Linked DNA regions of Notamacropus eugenii. The protein of the gene in region 2 purifies or fractionates together with the protein of the main gene of each other region. This does not show direct contact. Links are inferred from orthologs where the notes say so. Each region holds a gene or a part of one and is shown on either strand. Other genes may lie near its edges.

Region 1 (7,876 bases), on a different chromosome or scaffold from region 2:
GCAAAGTAGCCAGGGAGTCACTTGCCCTGGGGGTTGGGTGGTGGGTGGTGGGTGGGTAGGGCTCTCAGTTTCCTCAATCTTCATAAGAGGACACAGGACTAGGTTCTCTGGGGGCCGTGTCCAGCACTTTCCAGGGTGCCCCAATTAGACATGGGGTCTGAAGGCTTGGCTTCAAAGCCTGGCTTTGCCATTTCACAGGGATTGCAGGGAGTACTGGACAGAAGGCTGGACTTGGGATCTGGAAAAACTGGGCTCAAATCCTGTCTCAGACACTCAGACAAGTCACTGCCCCTCTTTGTCTGTTTCCTTTTCTGTAAAATGAGGATTGGACTAAACTCCCTTCTGAGTTGAAATCTATGTCCTTTTTACCTTGGGCTAATCAAGTCACCTCTGGTGGGTCTCAGTTTCCCCATCTAGGGTTACCCTCAGGGAGCTCCCATTCAAGTGTACATAATGTGTACTCATGTACAGGTGAGGGGGAGGGGTGTCTGAGACACCAGAGAACCAGGGAAGGTAAGAGATGTGGGGGTGGGGGGCAAGCCATCAATGGCAAAGGCAGAGAGGAGAGAGGGAGTTCAAGGGGTAAAGATGAGTCGGGAGGCATGAAGGTCAAACAAAGAAATCTCTATCCCACCCTCCAGGTGGTGCACCAGGTGGTGACAGGGCAGGGAGGAAAAAACCAGCCTGGAGCTGAGGCTCCTGCCAGGGGATCCAGGCTGGGGGACGATGACCCTGGCTCTCAGCCTCCAGTCTGTCCTGGGAGAAGGTGAGCCCAGCCCAAAACAATCAAATCTTTACCTTCCCAGCCTCTGGCTGAGCCACACCACAGACCAAGGAAGGCAAAATCAAGCTGGACTCTAAAGTGAGACCCCATTTAAAGAGTCCCAGGCCCTCACCAGAAATGTCTAAGTCCAAAGGGGTCCAGCTGTCCTTCTCTGAAAGGGAAATCTACGAACTGCCCACCTCTCCCCCCAGGCTCCCCCATCTAAGCAGTTAGAGCCCAGATTCCCAGGGGCCCACACGACCCAAGGAAATTCCATGCAGATGAGTTACAGGAAGCTGCTTTCCACAGAAGACCTTTTTAGACCCTAAATTAGCTCTTCCGGTGCCCTTAAAGGTTAATAACAAATAACATTGCCAGAGCGCTGGAAAAAAAGAACCACCGACTGGGTGCTGGGGACAGCGCAAATCCTTTACAGTGTTCACAACAACCTTGGGATGTAGGAGCGATTATTTCCATTTCCAGCTCAGGAAACTGAGGCAGACAAAAATTAAGTGAGTTCCCCAGGGTCACATCACACACAGCAAGTAAGTGTCTGAGGCTGGATCAGGTCTTCCTGACTCCAGGCCTAGTCCCTGACCCACGGGGGCCACCTCTAATTAGATTAGTTCATTTGGTCCACACCACACCTGTGGGGGGTGGGTGCTATTATTATCTGTACCCTACAGAGAAGAATGGGAACGAGAACTAGGCTAACCCTGCCCAAACCCGGGTCCTGCTCCTTCCACAGTCTCATTCCTGCTGCAAGACAGAATCTGCCTGGTCCTCACAGTGCCTCAGGCCCCTGTGCCCAGACTGGGCCTTGGACTGGAGGGGGCAGGGGAAGGCTTTTCTCCCTATTTTCCACCAGCTACATTTTGGACCCAGGGACCTTGACCATCCTGGCTGCCCACCTCAGGACACTCCGCAGCTTCTTTATCCTTCATAAATAGTAAGCAGACCCCCAGAACTGAGTACCATACTGCTGAGGAGGAGGTGGAGGAGGAGGGGGAGGAGGAGGAGGAGGAGGTGTGCCTGAGGTCTGGTGACTGGGAGAGAACACAGAGGGGTGGGTCCCCTCCACCTGGGGGGCTGCTGACTCATCCTGGGTCCTTCGATCTCCTCCAGACCCCCGGATCTTTCTCACAACCGCTGCCCATCGTCCCTACCTAGGTATCTTACTAAATTAGCCCAGGCTGGATCCTGGCTCTGGCAGCCTCTACGGTGGCATCCCTGCGGCCAAACATCCTGCACACACGGCACCATTCGGCCAGTCATTGATCCGAGGGAAGGGGCCTGGGGCCACGCGCAGGTCCCCGGTGCCCCCTGGGCACCCCTGCCCAGTGCACGGAGCCGCTCCTGGTCATGGGCAGCTTCGGACCGAATGGTCCTCTCTCTCCAAGCATCCACGCGCGACGCACTTGGCTGAAACCTGCCCCAATTCTCCAGGCACTCCGGCCTGTGGGCAGCCCGGCCTCCGCTCGGACGTGGCCACGGCGGGGGGCACCCCACCCCCACAGACACCTCTCTGATTTCGGGGTGTATCGCAAGTCTCCATTCCCGGAGGGGCCCCCTCCGCTTTTAGCCTCCGGGGGTCAGCAGACGGTGAGCCCCAGGGCAGGGCCGGCCGGGGTGTCCCCAGCATGAAGCCTACGTTGGGCGGCAGCCCCAGGGGCAGCCGGGGAGGGCCATTTTACAGAGAAGGCAACTGAGGCTCAGAGAGGCCCAGGGGCTCCCCTGGCGCCGGGTGCCGCGGGGCTCCTGACCACCCTCCCCCCGCCCGGAGCAATGGTCCGGTCCGGGCCTATGGAACCCTCCCCGGCGGACGCTACCACCGCTCGCGCCGCGGGGAGGGAGGGGGGCGCGGCCGGGACGAACCTTTCGCGGGGGGTCCAAGATCCAGGCGGCCGCTCCGGGAGGTCCTGGGTCGGGGGGAGGGGAGGGGACGAGACAGACGCGGCCGGCTGCGGGCAGTGTCCCGGAAGTCTCGCCCAGGGCCCCACCCACCGGGGAGGGGCCGAACACGCCGGGACCCGCCCTCCGAGGAGCGAGCGGGAACCGCTGTTCTACGTCATCAAGGAGCGCCGAGCCGCGAGGGACTCTGGGACGCCGTCGGCGCCCCGCGTTTCCATAACAACCGGGAACGCTCCTGCGGCCTGTTAACTTGCGGCGGTGCAGGACCGTGGGAATTTTCCTCTTCCGGCGTGCGCTCCGGGAATGCAGCCCCAGGGCCCGTCCAGGCCTGACCGCCCCGCCCCCCGCGCTCGGGGCAAATGGCTAGAGCAGCAGCCACTCCCATCGCCCCCTAAGGCTACTACTGGCTTTGTACAGAGGGGGAAACTGAGGTTCCCGGGAAAGGGACGTAATAAAGAAACATACCTACAGTTACATAGGACTTTAGAGCTTGTACTGCAGCTTGTAAAGCCAGTCTTTCCTTTGGGTCTTACAACCACCCGGGGAGAGAAAATACTACACACACAATTGTTACTGCCGTTTAACAGATGAGGAAACTGAGGCTCCAGAGTGGTTTGCTCAGACCTTGGGTCTGTCATGACTTCCAACGTTCACGATGACGCTGGAAGGGAACAACACCGAGACACTGGTGCACTTGAACACTGCTTTATTGGCATATTGTCATCCAAGTCAAAATTCCTGGCTCTGTACCTATTTGGGATGGGGGTTTCCTCTCACCAAGGGGGTTCTTTCCCCACCCAGCCTGATTCCCAGGGCCGTGCCAGTCACAGATGCCAAATCTTAGAGCTGGAACAAGTCTCCTATTCCAGCTCTCTCTTTTTACAGACATGTAAACAGACTCGGAGAGGAAGGGATTTGCTGAAGGGTCACACAACAAGTCCGAGGCAATGTTGGGGCTGGCGTCCAGGACTCTCAACCTCCTTCTTCCCCTTAAATCATCAGATTCAGAGGTGAAAGGGACCTTGGTCATCTGGTCCAACTCTCTCATTCTACTGATGGGGAAACTGAGGCCCAGAGAGGGGAGGAGAGTGGCCCAAGATAAGTGGTGAGATAAAGGGCAGGGACCTAGGGATATGTAAAATGAGAAGAATGAAGACTTTTGGCAGCTATCTCTGAACCACAATTCAAGCTTCCTGAATTGAATGAAGCTTATTTCTTCTCCCAAAGTCCCCACTCCCTTTCCAAATCCCTTCTTGTCCCCCACTCCCCAAAAAATCTTACCTCTTGGCTTTGTCACATCAGTGCTCATCACCCACCTAAAAAAGGCCCACCCCCAGGGTGAAGGACTGGGTTAGCCCCTCTTGCCTCCCACAGGCTTGAGGGGGAAACCTGAAGAGCCAAAGGCCCCAGCCCTGCCTTTGGAGGCTGCTCTCTAGGTGGGTCGGCAGATCAGCATCTCCTGGGAGAGTCTGGGTACTTCATCTTCAACTCCTGTTTGAACTGGCGGAAGAGGATTTTATTCCGTTGATTCTCTGCCTCCTTCTGGGGGTGGAAGTCCCCTGGCATCTTGAAGCCCTTGTGGACCAGGAAAGCATCATTCAGCACCTCAAACTCATACCCTGCTACGTGGAGCTCACAGGCCTGGGAGGGAAGAGGGGGAGAGGAAACGGTCAAACTGGCCCTGGTTATCCTCCTGCCACCCCCATCAGCTCTTACCAGACACCTTTTGTCAGCCCCTTCCCTCCCACCCCAGGGAGAGAGCGACCGGCACCTGGCTGATGCGGTTGAAGCCATACTGCCGAAACCTCTCATCGTAGGAGGGCACTGCGCCTCCGGCCACATAGAAGGGCTCCCAGGGGTCCTGCCAGGTCACGCGGTAGGCAGGTCGCAGGGGTCCCCCTGGGGGCAAGGTGAGCCATCGAGAGTAGTTGGTGGGGGCGTGGCATCGAGGGCACAGTTCAGCATAGAATGGGCGAACGTGCCCCATCTTAAGGAAGCGCATCAGCTCGATTTTGGTGCGGGGGACCCGAACCCCCTGGCGGATCTCGAAGGCCGGAACCACCAGTGCCCGGCCTGCCCTGCCCTCGCCCAGGGCCAGCAGCTCCAGCAGGCCGGTCCAAAGCCCATCGCTGGGCACCATGTCCACGTCCACGACGAGGGCATGGCCGGCGCCCTCCCGGGCCACGTTTCGAAGGAGGTTGTTGGGGTAGGAGACGTTGGTGGCCAGCGCGTAGTTGCGACCTGAGCGGCTCCGGGCGCCCATGCTGGTGAACACATCTGTGCAGCTGCTGAGGCGTGCGAATTCGCCCGGCTCCCGCGGGTCAGGCACTGCGGCCTCGGTGCGCGCAGGGCACACCAGGTGCATGGTGAGGCGGTCGCGCACGGCCTGCGTGCAGAGAGCGCCCAGCGCGTAGGTCAGCACCGTGGCCAGCTGCGCCTCGTCTGGCCTCGCAGCGAACACGGCCACTGCCAAGGGCCCGGCCCAGCGCTCCAGCAGCGTGCCCACGTGGCCCAGGTTGCTGAGGCTGGCGTGGGTGGCGAGCAGCAGGGCGTCGCGCGGGCGGCGCGAGGGGTCCCCTAGAACGTGCCGGTACACGCGGTAGTCCCCGCTGGCGTCCAGGGCGCCGCCGGCGGCCAGCACGGCCCGCAGCTGCTCCTTGGCGCTCTCGGCCGCGCGGCGCTGCAGACTGGCACCCAGGGCCGCCCCGCCGGGGAACAGCTGCCCGTAGCGGCGCCGCTGCTCGCGCCCGTGCAGCCCGGCCAGCAGCGACAGGTAGACGAATTGCAGCAGCGCCACTGCCAGCAGCGCCGCCAGTGCCAGCTTGTAGGCCGAGCAGCGGCCCGCCGCGTGCCCGCCGCCCGCCGCCGCCGCCGCCACTGCCAGCGGGTTGGGCATCGCGTGCCGCCCAGGCCTCCCGGGGCAGGAGGCTGGGGAGGAGGCGAGGAGCGGAGGAGGGAGGCCAAGCCGGGCGAGCGAGCGCACCGCGGATGCAGCTGCCGCCGCCGCCGCCGCTATCCCTGCTACTGAGACTGTGGCCAGCCGGGCACTGGGGGGCCGCCGCGGAGCGCACTCTCGCCCTCTGCCCAGCGGGAGGACGCACTGCAGCCGCGCGCCCCACGGCGAGCCCCGCAGCTGTGTGTGGCCCACGCAGATGTGCGGTGTGTGTGTGTGTGTTGGGGGGTAGAGATGCCCAGGTTCTAACAGGAACGAGAGAGAGGGGCCCGTGGCCTGGCTGGCAAACCCAACCTTTCTGGAGGGGAACAAGGCGCCTAGGGGTGGGCTGGCAAACTGCCCTGTGCCTTCCTCCCTTGCAGAAAAGAAAGGGGGGAAGGAAGCGCTCGAGGCTTCGCTTGCAACTTCCAGGCAGTGCCTCAGGCAGCGTGTCCTCCCTGGCACAAAGGCTCGTGGCTCCCTAGGAATTGCCAGGAAGGGGACGCGACACCGGCAAGCCCCCTTTTCGGCCGCACAGGGCGCGCCAAGCTGGAGTCGCAAACACATGTGACCGTGGAAGGACACCCTGACACCTGCGCCCGGGTTTGCAGGTTCCCACTCTAGTTTGCACTCCCGCAATCTTTTCGGGGGGTGGGGGGAGGGACGTGCCCACAGCTATCCACAGAGGCCTGCGGAGGGAGGGATGTTTCCTGGTCACTCGGCAGTCGCGGCCACCCTTTGAAAGGAAAACGCGAGCATGGAGCAGGAAACGAGCCCCTCCCAGGGGTCCCTGTGCCGCGCCTCTCCTGGCATCAGAGATCCCCCGCCCGGCCCGCAGAGGAGGGGAAAGGCTGGCGCGGTGCTCTCCGCAGCCGGACGCAGGAACAAGGGGCTGCGCGGAGAAATCAGCCTGCGGCGGGACGAGGTGGCCGAGTGGTTAAGGCGATGGACTGCTAATCCATTGTGCTCTGCACGCGTGGGTTCGAATCCCATCCTCGTCGTTCCAATTTTCCGCTGGCCCCGCAGTCATTTTCCTCCTCAGCTCCCTCGGAAGGCTCTCGCGTGTTAGGAGCTTTGGGGAAAACAGCCAGAGAAAGGCACGGATGCCCGTCATCCCTCCCCTTCGCAGGAGAGACTCAGACCACCCACATTTTGGCTCCAGTTTGACCAGATCCCAGAGAAAGGAGGGACCTTCCGAGGGAAGTCGTGGTGGTTGTTGGGCTCTGTCCAACTCGTGGTCTTCCTGTCCTAAGCTCCGTAGCCCCAAGTGCCCAAGATTAGCAGGGAGATCTCGATCTGGGTTTGGGATTGGCTTTCGACTTAGCAAACACTGCTGGACACCGAGAGGGCAGAGCCCTGAGATGGACATGGGGCTTCCTGTTGAGGTCGGGTATAAACACACACGTGCACACGTTGTCCCTCCCTTAGGAAGAAGATAATATTTGGGAGCAGCTTTCAATTTCTGCAGCCTCGGTCCCTGGCGCACAGTAGGTGCTTAGTAAAAGCATGCCCACCGATTAAGCTTCGAGGGAACTTTGTGCCTTGTGTTTGTTCTGTGGAAAGAGCTGAAGCTGGGCCCCAGAGGAGTGACCCTCTCCCCAGAGGAAGATCTGACCCAGTGATAATCTTTGGGATGGGACTCAGCCTCAAGAAGGCAGGGCCAAACCAGGGCTCTCCCTACCCATGGCCAAGGAACTGAGGAAGAAAAGGGAAGCTCATGAATTCATTGGACCTCACAGCCAGCCAGAGTCAATGCCCAGTCCTGATTGCTCCCGGCCACCACCACCAGAACAGAAACAGCCAGAATTTATTAGCATCTTAAGGAGGACATTTTCATGTTGGATTCTCATAACCCTGCCAATTAGGTGCTGTTATTATCCCTGTTTTTACAGATGAAGAAACTGAGGCAAATGGGTTGTTCAGTCACGCAGCTAGACTGTGTCGGAGGTTGTATTTGAACTCAGGTCTTCCTGATTCCAGGCTCTGAAGGGTTTGAGATGATCACTTAGTCTAACCGCCTCAGAATTCAGAGGGCGCCCTATTCCAAATCCAGAATGCTTCCTACTGCTAAAAACCCCCTCTAAAGCTAATTACATTAAGGCTGCTATGTACCACCCCCTCCCATACTGAAGTAAGCACGCTGGCATTGGAGTCAGAACTGAATTGTCAGAATTGTCACAATCTCAGAATTGGAAGGCAGCCCAGAGACCAGTTAACCCAATCCATACACTCCCTACTGGGACAGCTAGGTCTGGGTTCAAGAAGACTCA
Region 2 (8,310 bases):
ATATAGTACATTAATCTTAGGGTTATATTGTTAAAGACCTGAAATGGTCTATATAACTTTTTATTGTTTTAAAGCTTCAAAACACTTAAATCTTCTTTGATACCCTACCTCTAAGTCGAAACTATTAAATTACCACGATAAACATGTCAGTAGAGAGCTTTAACCAAATATTCATTGTAACAACAATAGACACAATGTAACACCTACAAATAAATAAGTATCCATTCAACCTATTTTAAAATTGAAAACATTATTTAATCAGTACTGTGTCAGAAGACTGAGGTTGAAATGGAAGTCACAACAGCTGATAACAGAGAAATAAAACTAATGCTCTTACATTTGAAGCACTAAGATTTTTTGCATTAATATTGCTGGTGTAAAAAAAGAAGCTTCCTTTGGAAATATCTAATTTCAACATGCTGAAGTGGCAAAAAAAAAAAATAGATACTTCATTTTACCATAAACTCTAATCCTCGTGTGAACATGCTTTTGTTGTCTCTTTTATACACAAATCTTATATGAAGCTTAGCACTTATTCACAGAGCTATTTATAGGCACATACATTTAAAAACAGTTGTAGTATACTGTAAGTAGGAAAATAATTTATTTTTCCAACTAGTTGTTTTAAACAACATTCAAACTTTCAAAGTGTCACTTTATTCATTTATTAAATTATATTTACCTTCCTAAAGTTTTAAACTCTGAAATATTTGGAGCATTTTTCAAAGCTTGCTGTCACCTTTCTTCCTGATAAAAATCACAGCAAGCATTAAGAATTTAGGAAAGTGAGGTTTAATAAATGAATAAGGCAATAAATCAATCATGAGTTTGATAAATTAACTAATTTTAAAAGCATATAAATTAATAAAATTTTAGAACTTCTTGTGGCAAAGAAGTATAATCAGGACTATTTTAAACTATCATTATAAAATGTCATTTCTTTCCTATCATCCTTTGAAATGTTCCTTGTTGGAATTATTTTGGAATAATCTTTTCCATTAAAAAGAGTTTAATAACATTTATCATATGGACTGAGCATTAAGCATTGTTTTAATTCAACCTCATGGATTTGTGTAATGCATGTTATTTCTAAAATCCTAGAAAAATTGAAATCTCTCTCCACTAGGCTCCCTCCATTCCATTCCAACTCCACATACATTCTTTGCTCTTTGGGGAAACGCACAAACAAAATCCCCCGAAACTCAAAGATAGGACAAAAGCTATTGTTTTGCAAAGGCCGCTGTCATTAGTGTTTAAAGAAAAATATTCGCCCAAAGAACAACAGCTCAGAGTCGGATCCCCTCGATAGAGTTAGAATTCTAGGGCCTTAGAAGAGGTCGAGGAGGACGGCACTTCATACACATCGATCGCTTCCGACACATTCAATAGATGCTATTTCCCCCCACACTCCTCAATGACTGACAAAGGAATAAAGTTTAAATATACATAAATATATGTATACATATGTATATAAATGCATATTTTTAAAATTCTCAGAACAAAAGTCCCAAAAGCGAAAGCTCAAGAGCAGGGGAGGAGCAGGGATGACCCAAAAGGGGCAGGCCGGTCCCTCTCCAGCGGGGAGGGCCACGCTTATCCCGTTTACCTTCATTTTGGGGGACGATCTAAGAGGTTCCAGCTCAAAGAGAAGTCTTCGGCAGGGCAGGATGCGTGAGGGAGGAAGAGAGAAGTGCAGTTAACCAACAAGAGCCCGAGAAGCCGTCCGAGTAAACAAGCCCCAGCGGGGAGGGGCACAGCCCTCGCTGTCCCAGGTCCGGGAGGAAAAGCAGAGGCCCAAGGAAGAGGGGGGGCGGGAGGAGCCCCCAAACCAGCTTTCATGCCGCCCCTCGGAGGACTTCCCTGCCTCCGCCCCTCTGCCCACTTCCACCCGGGCAAAGTGAAGTCGGGGCTTCCTCTGAGTGCCGCCGGTGCTGGCGGAGGGCGGCAGTTTCTGTTTCTCGGGCTCCTACGGGGGGCAGTCTCCGGGGCGGTCCGTGTCTCCCTCCGCTCGCCCTCTCCCGCCTCTGCCCCCCCCCCCCCCCGCCCGCTTCTCGGCCGCTTCCCCCCTCTCTCCCCTCCCCCCGGTGCCCGCGGTGGCGGCGGCAGCGGCGGCGGTGTGTCACGGCGCCATTGCTCTGCCTCCACCAGCTCTGCACCATGTCAGGCAGGAGAACAGGCTCCGGGTCCCAGAGGGGCAACAGCCGCCCGCCGCCCGAGAAAAAGAGAAAAGGGGAAAAGAGGAGGAGGAGGAGGAGGAGGAGGAGGAGGGGGTGGGGGAGTGAGGGGGTGGAGAAGAGGAAGGGAGGCAGCCGGGACAGGGTGTGGGAGGGGAGGAGAACCGCACAGTGGCAGCCACTGCCTCCTCCCTCCACCCGCCTCAACTTTTTTGTGGCGCTCCGAAAGGCGCCGGTCCTCCAAGCCCCCACCCCGACCCCTCTGGTCGAGCTCGCAAACCCACTCGAGGGAGAAGCGCCGCAGAGTTGGGACCCCTCTCCCGGGAGCAGCCCCGCTCCTCACTCCGCCGGAGCAAACTTAGCGGGGCGGCCACCCCCACAGCCATTTTACTCCGGGAACCGGAGAAGGGGTGGGAGGAGGGAGGAAAAAAAGAAAATCGGCAGCAGCGGTTCCCCCTGCTGAGGCTTCTCCTCTGCCGCCCCCACCCCCACCTCCAAACCTCTAAGTGCACCGGGACTCCCGGGCAGCAGCACCAGCTGCTACTGCCGCTTCGCCCATTCAATAGCCCCCGCTCCTCTTCTCCCTACCTACCAACTGCGGCTTAAGTACGCGCTGTCAGCTCTCGATCCCCCCAGGCACACTGACCCTAGCGGGCCCCCGTCCGGGCAGCACCACTCCTGGCCGCCGCGGCAGTTCCTGCGCCCAGTCCCCCGCTCGCCCCGATTTACTGCCACAATCCACCAAATAACAAGCTGTTGAGCAGACTCGCTCCTACACGAACTCCTATTGGCCCCTCATGACGATGGAGCACCCTTCCGCGCTCCTCATTGGAGCTCGCTACCCGCCGCCCCGATTGGATATAACGCCTTGAGTGCACCGATTGGTAAGAAAAGCAGCAGGTAGGAAATATCGTACTTATGATTGGTTAGCCGAAGAGTCAAACATTATTGGAGGAGTTGGGAATTGAGTCAGTAGATCCTGACAAATGATTGGTGATGATGACTCCGGATGTGCTTGAGTGATCACTGATTGGTGAACTCGGGGGTCAGGAAGAGCGACCCAGAGCGGGGATTGGCAGTGGGTGTCCCATGGAAACGGAACTCATAGCTGCGGAGAGGGGCTTGCACCGGGGGCGGGGCAGGGACTATACAAGGCGCCTGCGCTAGATCCTGTTCTCGGCGCCATTTTGTCTCGGCAGCAGTGGCTGTGGCTCTTTCCCATTTTAAGCTTGTCGAGGAGGGGAGCTGAGACTTTACCCGGTTGACTCGTTCTCATGGACTAGACCTTCACCTTCCATCCCGGGTGAGAGCACAGTGAGTGACTGAATAAATTTGGGATCCATCCACAAAGGTCAACTGAAGGCTGCGGTTAACTGACGGGGGAGGGTGTGTGTGGGGGGGGGGTTGAGGGGATGGCGCAGCAATAGCGGCACTAAGACCGGAAGTGAGGGGGCCTCGCGGCGGCCGCGGCAGAGTAAGTTCCTCACTGGGGGGACGAATGGGGGTGGGGGGAGTATTGAGGCCTTCTCTCCCGCCGGAGAAGAGGGGGTGGAGTTTGCTACCTCTTCGTAGAGCTGGATCTTCCCCTTTTTCTCCTATATGGGTAAAGAAGGTGTGTGCTCGACCCTGGGGCTCCACACCCCTCACCCATCTCTGTGCTTTGCCTTCCCTGATTCTCGTGCAGAGGGGCCGAGGTTTGACTTCTCTAAACTTGAAAGGAGTTATTCTTGCCAGGTGCCCCCTGCCTAAGAAAAGGGCGTTTCCACCCTAGCTTCGAAGCTGGGAAATCCCTGGTTCTCAAGATTCAGGAGTTCTCCTTCCCAGTTTGCCCTGATAGTTGTTCGCCTAAGGTCTTGCTGTGTCGAACTAGAATTCTCTTTTTAAGTGGAGATTGTATTTGACAGGAATGTAGTATGTCCAACAGTCCTCCAGTAATCATTCACCAAGAGGTACGGTGACCATTGATTGATTCGGCAGTTATGTAATGGACCTTTTAAATGAAAGTATTTTAAATCACTTTTAAATCTTAAGTAATGATGAGTCAGAGATTGGGTTGGAGAGGAGCACAGCAACTGGATTTTAAATTTTATTTAGAAAAAACTTGTTTGAACTAGGTAAAGTGTGTGTTGTTCCTTAATTGAGTAGCTTTTTAATGTAAAGAGACTGGCATATGCTAAACTGTATTAACTAAAATTAGAAAAGCTTTGGGTTCTAAGGAATTCACATTATTGTTTATTCTCACAACATCTCTAGTTGACTTTAAACTATTTTAGAGTCAGATTTAGTGAGGTGTAAGTGCTTTGATATAAGTGCTTTTAAAAAATTTCTCTCAATTATTTTGCAGTTTGGCTCTTAAAGATCTGTAGATTGGGTGAATTTGAGAAAGTCATTCAACGTTGTTTCGGAGGTGAGTCCTTATATAATTCTGAAAATATTGAGAATGAGGGGAGGAGGTGGCGAAAACACCTAGGAAATGAATTTTCATGCCTAGTCAGAAGTCTTTTGAGGTAGATTGTGATGTATTGTTGAAAGAAGGGGAAGGATGGGTGTTGTGCTTTTATTTAATAGGCAAAGATGAGGTTGTTTTGGGGTATAGAGAATTAATTGGATGCAGAAGGTATAGCAAAAATAAGCCTAAAATGAGCTTCAAGTAGGCTGGTTTGACTAAGACTTTGTTTAGTGGAAGTGAAACTGGAAAGGTAGGATAGAAACCAGATAATAGAGAACCTTTGAATTTCAGTTCAAAACTTTAAACAAAGTGTTAAAAGTGTTTTAAAGTACCATTCCCAAGATGGCACTTCAGGAAAGATTAATCCATTGACATCTAGAAGGATGCTTAAGAGGTGTTGGAGTCTGGCAACTGTATGACAAATTAGGAAACTATTGCAGTACTCTAGACATAAGACATGGATCAAGTAATGACAAGGGGATCTGGGAGAGAGATATTTGAAGGAAGAACAGGCAGGCTGCAACAAACAACAGATTTTGAGTCTTGGTGCTTTGGGGAAATGATAATTCTCTTTACTGTTCAGCTTTCATTTTGGACTTTACATGAGTTTTATAGTATGTGATCTTTTAGTATAAATGAAATCCTTTTTAATATGTCTTCTAAGGAATTTTTTCCAGTGAAAGCAAAATTGTAATCACAGGAGCAGAAATGTTTTATTTCTTTTCAACTATTTGTAGCTGTTTTCTTTGCATAGCTTCTTTGCATTGTAAATTATTAATGCAAATGATTAATATCCATAATCTTCTCAGCTTTTGATATCCTTTCTTTTTGTTGTACCTTCCCTCCTGGAACCCTGTGTCCCAGCCAGCGAATGTTGAGAATTAGCAAACTATTAATATTAGCTTGAGGAAAACATGATTAGGGAACTACAACTGCAACCTTCTATCTCCCCTATCTTCCCTTCATGTTCATTCATTTAACAGCTGTTAACTGTGCTCCCTATGTACAGTGTGCTGGGTACTAAGTTGATTATAAGATTTGATCACATAAATGTCTTTTAACTTTTCTCATGAAGCAGAAATTTATATTGTAACACACTGAAGCTCCATTTTTGCCTGTGGTTCCAAAAACATATATTTTAAAAATATTCCTGTCAGTCACATTGCTTGTATTATGTAGTACTTACCATCAGGAAACCCTTCTACGTCAGTTATACTTTTATTAAGTTGTAGTCTTGCCCACTAAAATCAGTTGTGATGTCATAAGTGGTATTGAAATTTTTAGCATTAGAATTTAGCAAAGAAGTCTTAAATCCGTTTTTTTTTAAATAGTGGTATAAAATATTGTTGTCATTTCCATGGTGTAGTGATCTTAGAGATGACTGAATTCTAGTGTTATCTTTGATACTTTCTAGCTGTTTGATCCTACTCAAGCACTTAAGTGCCTACCAAGTTGTCAGACACTGCTAGATGTTGGGAAAATAAATTATTTAATCTCTCTGAAGCTCTGTTTCTTGATAAGTAAAATGGGCATAATTATGACTCATGGTGTTTTTGTGAGGAAAGTATTTTGTAATTCTTAAAGTGTTCCATACATAGGAATTAGGTTCTGCATAGATAGCTATATAGCATGTCATGGGATATAATAAATTAGATATGTCCGCAGACAGAAGATCGTAGACTTCAATCTTTTGTGAATTTTTTTAGTAAAATGAGAATTTCTTTTCCCTCTATTAGGGGAATCTATTGATACTTGACATATTCTTGTTTAATTAGGATTAGGATTTACTGGTGGTACATGGTTTCCTTTTTTCACCTACCAATAGCCTCAACCACTTTTGTTGTCTTTATTTCTTCTCTCTTCAGAGTACACAGTGCAAGCTTTGAGCACTTGTGAAGTGACATTTGGGGGGCTATTTGGGAAAAACAAAAATAGCATTGATCAGTGAAGTTAAATTTTTCTTTTTATTTGTATAAATAAATTTTGAAAATCTTTTTTTGAGAAAACATGAATAATTATTAGGTTCTGCTTATGTTATACATCAGTTTCATTCTCTTTTGTTTAATCCTGAGCACTCACAAATGTAAAGACCTTGAGAATTACTGTTTTTCATGTGTAAATATCAGGTTTAGTTCTCAGTGATTCTGATTTCTAGTAGGATGTAGGGTTAGAGAATCTTTTGAAGAATATCATAGTGATTTCCTGATTAATCTTAAGTGCCTTTTTATATATAATTTTTTTTAAAGTTCCTGAAGAGTCTTGATGAAGCAGATTTTTAATTTGTATAAGGATACAAACATCCTCATTCTGATGATATAGTATATGATGTTATTCATAGACTCATGGGGTTAGGAATGGACAATATATCAGAGGGCATCTGAATCAGTCCCCTTATTTTAAAGGTGAAGACTAAGGAAGGCTGTGACTTGTGCAAGGTCATGCGGATGGTAAGCATCAGGGGTAGTATTTGAGCTGACTTCTGACCCCACAACCTCCACACACTATTAAGAGAGGTAGACTAAGTATTATGAATAAGTTGATTCTTGTAAAATGATTTTATGCTTCACTATGAGATAGACTGGACAGCATCACTATTTTTAATTCTTTGTCTTTCAGATTTATCCTGATATTTTGTAGGGAAAAAGTCATCAAAGGCTTTTAACCCTGTTTTCTTACTGTTTCTTGGAATGTTTCTGGTAGGTGATTTTTAGAATGATACAAAAAAAATAAGTTTCAGTTTTTAATATTGTATGGCAATGCTACTACATATAACAAAGTTAGGTAAGAAATGGTACTCTCTGAAATGTATAATGGTTTCAGTAAGCTTTTCCATGATGTTGAGAAGTAGATTTGACAGCTGTAGTGCAGCCAAAAAATTTCCCAATGAATCATTTATCTCTAAAGAAAATTAAATAATAGGTTAATTTCTAACCAGGTACAAGCTCCCGTATTGCTGTACTTTTCCCTTTTGAATTGCATAATCACTGGAATTCATAAATCTTAGTTTTCCTTTATGAACAAGCCTAAATAAAAATATGTTTCAGATTATGGAGTGAGTAGATAATATTTTTAGCAGATTGATAATTTTTGAGCATTTAAAATACTTTGATGTTTTAATATGCAAAGCTTTAGCCCAGGTATTCTAGATAATACAAAGAAAGTTTCTGTCCTTAAAGAGCCTGTGATACAGCTGGAAAGATGGGACATAAATGTGCTTTAAAATTCCTGTTATTTAACAGGAAAAAAATTTATTTAGGAAAACAATGGAAGCAGTATTGCAAGGTAGTGATTAATTGTCACATTTTATAATCACATAACATTAGAGGAGTCAGAAGAAATTGGGAGGAAAAGGATTTGGCAGGAAAAGCTTTATAAAGAGAGTGGGATCAGAAGTTGATCTTGAAAGGAATGGGATTCGGATAGGCAAGGCAGAAAGCATTCTAGTGGAATAAAATGGGCAAAAACTTAGGAGAAAGATTGAGGTATGTTTGGCAGAGAGTAAGTAAATCAGTTTGACTAGGCAAGTAGACAATGATGGGCCTAGAAATGTACTATGGGGCCAAAATGACTTGTTCTTTAAGCAATGGGAAGCCATTGAAAGGTGATGATGTTGTTTTGTTTTTGCATAATGTAGCAAGGGTGATAGGAGTAAAATATGTTGTTGGAAGATTAATTATGTATCCACGA

What was found.
Region 1: the proteins of ARID4A (region 2) and BRMS1 purify together in Homo sapiens (affinity purification with western blotting; 3 studies listed by BioGRID and IntAct, with this or other methods). This does not show direct contact. The link is inferred for Notamacropus eugenii from reciprocal best matches to the Homo sapiens genes ARID4A and BRMS1.

The regions. Positions count from the first base shown.
Region 1 is NC_092873.1:18,947,531-18,955,406, forward strand, and holds the start of BRMS1 (breast cancer metastasis-suppressor 1), read right to left. Parts: upstream 3,073-7,876; 5' UTR 2,639-3,072; exon of another isoform or gene 1,889-2,638; intron 1,713-1,888; exon of another isoform or gene 642-1,712; intron 1-641. Other genes in the region: B4GAT1 (beta-1,4-glucuronyltransferase 1), read right to left, coding at 4,124-4,315, 4,446-6,173. UniProt on the Homo sapiens protein: Transcriptional repressor. Down-regulates transcription activation by NF-kappa-B by promoting the deacetylation of RELA at 'Lys-310'. Promotes HDAC1 binding to promoter regions.
Region 2 is NC_092872.1:301,126,793-301,135,102, reverse strand, and holds the start of ARID4A (AT-rich interactive domain-containing protein 4A), read right to left. Parts: upstream 3,031-8,310; 5' UTR 2,767-3,030; intron 1,653-2,766; 5' UTR 1,613-1,652; coding exon 1,607-1,612; intron 1-1,606.